Callithrix jacchus: one gene and its partner. The protein of the gene in region 1 interacts with the protein of each later gene in a pairwise test. Links are inferred from orthologs where the notes say so. Each region holds a gene or a part of one and is shown on either strand. Other genes may lie near its edges.

Region 1 (2,766 bases):
GATCTTAGCTCACTGCGACCTCCGCCTCCTGGGTTCAAGTGATTCTCCTGCCTCAGCCTCCCGAGTAGCTGGGACTACAGGCATTCGCCAACACACCTGGCTAATTTTTGTATTTTTAGTAGAGACTGAGTCTCACTGTGTTGCCCAGGCTGGTCTCAAACTCCTTGCCTCAAGCAATCCTCCCACCTCAGCCTCCCAAAGTGTTGGGATTACAGGTGTGAAGCATAACACCCAGCTAAACTATGCATTTTTTGTTTGTTTGTTTTTCTTTTCTTTTTTTTTTTTGAGACTGAGTTTCGCTCTCGTTACCCAGGCTGGAGTGCAATGGCGCGATCTCGGCTCACCGCAACCTCCGCCTCCTGGGTTCAGGCAATTCTCCTGCCTCAGCCTCCTGAGTAGCTGGAACTACTGGTGCACATCACCATGTCTGCCTAATTTATTATTATTTTTTTTTTAATTAAAAAAATTTTTTTTTTTTTGAGACGGAGTTTTTGCTCTTGTTACCCAGGCTGGAGTGCAATGGCGCAATCTCGGCTCATCGCAACCTCCGCCTCCTGGGTTCAGGCAATTCTCCTGCCTCAGCCTCCTGAGTTACTGGGATTACAGGCACGCGCCACCATGCCCAGCTAATTTTTTGTATTTTTAGTAGAGATGGGGTTTCACCATGTTGGCCAGAGTGGTCTCGATCTCTGCACCTCATGATCCACCCGCCTCCGCCTCCCAAAGTGCTGGGATTACAGGCGTGAGCCACCACGCCCAGCCTATTTTAATTTTTTTGTAGAGATGGGCTGCCCAGGCTGGTCTCAAACTCCTAGCCTCAAGCAAACCTCCTGCCTTGGCCTCCCAAAGTGCTAGGAATATAGGTGTGAGCCACTGCTGCCCAGCCTATGCCAGCTTTCAAGCAGTTACTAGGTCCTAGACAAAGGGGGTCCCAGGAGCCTTGTCTATCTCACAGTCCCAGCTGCTGCATAGGGTTCCATCAGACTGCAGTCTAACCTCACACAGTCACGGTGGCAGGCCTGTGGAAGAACTGGTCCCAAGCTGCTCCTTGTTCAACCCAGCAGGCCTCCCCAAGGCTGGGAGCTCTGGACCCTCACAGGCGACTGGAGGCTGGGCCAGGCAGGGAAGACCAGGGGAGACTATGCAGCTGGGATCTGGCTCTACCGCTGGCTAACTGGGTAGCTTTGTTTAAGTTGCCCATTGTTTTTGAACTTCCAGTGCCTCCTCTGAGAAGTGAGGATAAGCCAAACTATTTGGCAGGAAGAAGAGGAAATGAACTAGAGGTCATTGGGCATGCGCACCTGCCGCCGTCCCTGTGGGCCGCCCTGCAATGCCCTCACCTGGCCCTCAGTGCCTCTCCTGCCAACCGTGTTTAAGTGCATGCTCGTGTGGTCTGATGGCCCAGAGAGCTCTGCAGGTGGGGCTGGGCTGGCATCTGGTGACTGCCACCCAGACAGCACACAGCAGGTGCTCAGTGAACCCTGGACAAGGCACTGGGGAACGAAAGTGCCAACAGGGACCAGAACACCAGTGCCCACTTGCCAGCCCTCTCCCTGGCTGAGGGTGGGCCTGGCCATTCTGGGAGGGGTTGGGTGCTTACTCAGAGAAGCGGTCATAGAACGGAGAGCGGAGCAGGTAGTACAGCAGCAGGATGGTCCGGCGCCGCAGCTCCCGCCGCTCCCTCCGGGTCAGGCCCTTCCTGTCACTCAGGAGGCTCAGGCTGGGGGGCAGGGAGGACAAGGTCAGGGCCAGGGTCATGATCTGGGCCCACAGAAGGGGAGGAGTCACAGGCTGTGTGTGCAGAGGGGTAGAAACAGGAGGGGCAAGGGCTGCTGCCGTCCCACCTAGGTGGTGCCAGGATTGTAGCAGAAAGCCTAGTGGAGAGTGGAGCCCTGGGCAGGCCCAGGCTCACCTGGTCACGTCCACAACACCAGCCAGGAGCCAAGGTTTCCATGACCTCTGACCCCATAGGCCCAGGCTGAGCACTGACGGCCAAGGCGTCAAGGATGTCTCCGGCACAGGGGCGCAGCTCAGCGCACTCCCCACTCAATCCCCAGCCCGCAGTGCCAGCCCTATCCTGCCCCGCGCTAAGGATACAGTGCAGCAGTGGCCGGGCAATGTACAAGGACTCTGCGATGGTCTCCTGCAGCCCCAGGGGGGTGGGGGTCGCACTCAGCTCCTCAGGGTGCTGCTGCTGCCATCCCTCCCGCTGCTGGGGGGCTCCCCAGTGCCTGGAGTGCAGGGACGGTGCTAGAACACAAGGGACGCAGATGAGTGAGCCAGGCCCGAGCTGAGGTAGGGGAAAGTGGCCGCTGACTGAAGCCAGTCCCATAGGCCCAGGCAAACCACTTCCTCCACTTACTGTTCTGGAGGGTTCGTACCACCCGGTTTGACCGCTTCCCCACGTAGGAGTGCTCGTGGCTGCCAGGGCTGTGGTCACCATCTAGCAGGGATAGACAGAAGGCCATACCGTCAGAGGGACATGCTTCCAGTAGACCCTGCAAGGAACATGCATTCAGTGAGTGCTCAGGAGCTAAGGGGAGAATGGATCCCCTTGTACTGTGGCGGCAGCTGAGTGAAGGGAACTACAACCCGGGCGGTAGCTCAGCACGAGGCCCGTCCAGAGGGGGAAGCAGCCTGCAGCCCGCCCTGGCCTGAGGAAAGCTCATCATAGCTATGGCTAGAGCCAGCCTCCTGGAACCCGTGGACAGGCAAGGTAGGGAGGGCCCAGTCTGACCACATCTATGGGGAACACAGCACCAGAGG
Region 2 (3,825 bases), on another chromosome or scaffold:
TTTAATTTAAATTGAATTTTATAATTATTATTATTTTAAGACAGGATCTCACTCTGTCATCCAGGTTGGAGTGCCGTGGCATGATCATAGCTCAGACAACCTCGAACTACTGGGCTCAAGTGATCTTCCAGCCTCAGCTTCCTAAATAGTAGCTAGGACTACAGGCATGGGCCACCATGCTAATTTTTAATTTTTTTTTTGTTTTTGGTAGGTATAGGGTCTTGTTATGTTTCCCAGGCTGGTCTTAAACTCCTGGCCTCAAGCCATCCTCTTGCTTGGCCTCCCAAAGCATTTTCTTTTAAGAGACAGAGCTCACTGTGTTGCCCAGGCTGGAATGCAATGGTGCAACCATAGCACACCACAGCCTTGAACTCTGAGCTTAAAAAATCTTCCCTTCTTAGCCTTTTGAGTAGCTGGGACTATAACCATGTACCACTATGCCCATTTGGCTGATTTTTTAAATTTTAATTTTTGGAGACAGGATTTTGCTTTGTTGCCCAGGCTAGTCATGAACTCCTGGACTCACATGATCCTCCCACCTCAACCTCCCATGTTTTTTTCTTTTATCAGTATACATGTGTGTCTTTTTTCATCAATCTAATCTGAAACTCTATGTGTCCTTTCAATCTTAAATTTCAGGTTGTAATTCAGTTCAGTAAGATCTGGTCCATCATTTTTCTCTTCATCTTCTTTCTTTGAATTGTTTTCTCTGTAGTTCTGTTTTGAATTCTGAAAACATAAATTGATTTAGAGTCCTAAAAATATTTTTTAATACTCTTATTGTGTCTCCTTGAGATTCTATTTTATAAGTTTTCTCCTGTTTCATTAATTCTGTCCCATCTGTTCTGTTTGATCAGTTTTTGTCTTTATCTTTCAAGTTATAGGGTTTCCTTAAACGGAATGCAACATTTTTTTTTTTTTTTTTTTTTTTTTGCCTACTCATGAATGTAGGATCTCTCAGCAGCCAAACAGGTTCATCTTTGAGGTCTCTGGGAGTGGAAAATCCTTCAGGCAATGAAAACAAGGCATTCTGTTCTAACAGTGCCTCTATGCTGAGGTATGGCATAGGGGTCTCTCTGTTCTAAGGCTTTTCCAGTTGTCAATTGAGAGCTGTTCTCCCAATTACAAAGAATGGGTATAAGCCAGCAGACAAAATTTTTGGATTAGACTTTGTTTCTCAAGTGGATGACTATAATGTCCTCAGTCCATTTTTGTACTGCCATCATTAACTTTTTTAAAATGCAAAGGTGATTGTGTTACTGGACTGGTTAAAATCTACCTTTCTTTGTGTACAAATTGGAGTTCAGACTCCTTATCTTGGCATACAAAGCTCTTTATAATCTTGCCCTGACCTTTAGCTCTATGTTCTGATACTTGATCTGATACAAAAATATGTGTAGCCACACTAATAGAATTTGTATCTTCAGTTCCCCAAGTGTAATGGGCAGGTCTTACTAATTTTACATCTCCAATATGTATCACTCTGTCCACTGTTGCATACCTAATAATAAAAATGTACTGAATATCTAAAATTGTCACGTGCTTCTAATTAGAAATCAGTCATAATGGCAGTTTGTTTTAAATATTAATGGGGTTTTATTTCAATTATTGAAATATATACCTTTCAATTACTTACCTTTCAAGAGACTCAGAAATTGAAATTTCAAGACAGAGTAAAATTTTAAAAGTATAGAGTAACTGGTTTGATTAAATGGTTATGAATTAAGCACCTGCACTGCTAATGGAGTTTCTTCATCTGGCATCATATAATGGCATAATAAAGATTTGGATCCATCTTTATTAATCCAAGAAGAAGACTTATGCTGTTCAACGAGATTTCTGATTTCTTTTAGTTTTTGCTCCAAGTCCAAAAGGGACAAAGAATGTTTAAGAGAAACACTAGAAACAGAGAAAAGGGAATTGGGATAAATTAAAACTATACAACACATCCTATATACACTCTTTTCTTAACAGGCTACTGTCTAAAATCCTGTTTCTTCTGCTCACACCTGTAACTGCTGACTGGAATAGAATGGATTAAGAAATCAGCCACCAGTTAAGAGCCATTATTACAGAGCCAAGAAAAATATTTCTGTGGATTTCATAAGAGAATTCCTACTATAATTATAGATATTACTAGTATAAGTGTGAGGTAAAAGCCTCGGAGGCAGATTTTAAAGTAGGTCTCTTATCTCATGACCCAAATATTTCTGATTTGTATGGCAATCAATCAATAAACAATGAAATATTAAAACTTTCCCCTCTGAATACAAAGGTTGATACTGATGAAGAAAATAGATCCCACAAGGCAATATCCCAAGTTGGTATCTGATTAGATTACAGAGTTTCACAAACCACCATTTGTCAAGTCATTGACTTCACTAGAACAATTCTAATTTTCTTTCATTCATCAGAATCAGGAAGTCAGAAAAGTCAAAGAAAAATGCCTTACCTTCCTAAAATCTTCTGCACAGCTTGTTTAATGACAGTGATCAATTCTGTCAGGCCTATTAAAGAAAAAGCAAACTTAAAAGCCTTGCTTAGTTTAAAAATTCTTCAATAATACAAATAAATGAACTAAAATTAGTACAAAAGTCACAAGTAAGAATCTTACCATCTCCAAGAAGGTGTTGAATACTTGATAAATATTGCTGTTGGACATCTGGGGGAGCAAGAATTGTCTGTACAAAACAGAAATAAGGTTAAATTATCCAAGTTTTAAACTAGTAAATAAGTAATGTTTTCAATATAACTTTAGCTGAAATTTTTCAAGATCCAAAATGATGGGAAAATAATATTTTTTAAAACAACAAAAATTCTACTTTCCAAAGTATAAGAATTATTCATAATACTAAAAGTTCACAATCACATGAAATATAAAAAAATATTTATTTCATAGAAATTGGTATCAGGATAAATTAAGTTAAACTTTGAACCTCTTGAGGGAAAGGACAATGTCTATTTAAGTCTATTAAACTTACAGTGCCATTTTTGCCAACTGCTGCATTATCCAGGTAAATATATCCACCAATTATGTTTAACTGGACTCGCAAAAGAACAACCAACATACAGGTACTGTATACAGCCACGATACTTCTTGTGAAACCTTCATAGAGAAAAGAAAACCACTTGGTACTGTGATTAATATACATGTGTAAAATCATGAACCATTGCTATGGTTATTTTTTCATAAGATGACTTTTGAAAACATATTTATAACTGTTTCAGGTATAAAAATATATCAATTCAGAAGATTTCACAGTCTCTCCTTTTAAATAAAAAGTAGGTATGATCCCTTAATTGAGACAATAACCAATAAAATATATTAGGTGAAAGAGGTATATATTATCAGCTTAGAAAGGAAAACAAGGAAAAGTCTGGGAAGCACAAAGCATTGCAGCTTCAGAACTCTTACTTGTCAACAGACCTATTTTCAAGTAAGAGAAGAGGGCTGAGTGGAAGGTTAGGAAGAACTCTAGCCTTCAATGGCAGCTTGAGGAGGATGAGTCTGTTTAAGGAGTGGAGAAAGGTACAGAAAGACTAGGGAAGCTTGGTAAAACTGGCTTCTCAGTAGCCTAGGACAGACTGTTCAAAACAGAGGAGAGAGTGAAGGTGTTGACTAGTGAAGGTGTTGACTGTTGCCCAGAGTTCTAGCAGGAGGAAAATGTCCAGCAGATTTGGCAACACAGAACTTGTTACTGATGCTTGAGAGATCTGCTTGGGTGGAGACACAGGTGTGGAACCCAGGCTGTAGTGCATCAAAGCATGAGTGGGAGTGATGAGAAGGAAGGGAATGTAGAAATCTTGGTCATGGTCATAAGGATT

Evidence for each region.
Region 2: the proteins of PEX16 (region 1) and PEX3 interact in binary tests that used the Homo sapiens proteins (3 or more experiments, as listed by UniProt). The link is inferred for Callithrix jacchus from reciprocal best matches to the Homo sapiens genes PEX16 and PEX3.

The regions. Positions count from the first base shown.
Region 1 is NC_133511.1:110,936,781-110,939,546, forward strand, and holds part of PEX16 (peroxisomal biogenesis factor 16), read right to left. Parts: intron 2,444-2,766; coding exon 2,363-2,443; intron 2,251-2,362; coding exon 2,098-2,250; intron 1,986-2,097; coding exon 1,913-1,985; intron 1,721-1,912; coding exon 1,601-1,720; intron 1-1,600. UniProt on the Homo sapiens protein: Required for peroxisome membrane biogenesis. May play a role in early stages of peroxisome assembly. Can recruit other peroxisomal proteins, such as PEX3 and PMP34, to de novo peroxisomes derived from the endoplasmic reticulum (ER).
Region 2 is NC_133505.1:150,250,636-150,254,460, reverse strand, and holds part of PEX3 (peroxisomal biogenesis factor 3), read right to left. Parts: intron 3,107-3,825; coding exon 2,982-3,106; intron 2,682-2,981; coding exon 2,615-2,681; intron 2,508-2,614; coding exon 2,453-2,507; intron 1,900-2,452; coding exon 1,731-1,899; intron 1-1,730. UniProt on the Homo sapiens protein: Involved in peroxisome biosynthesis and integrity. Assembles membrane vesicles before the matrix proteins are translocated. As a docking factor for PEX19, is necessary for the import of peroxisomal membrane proteins in the peroxisomes.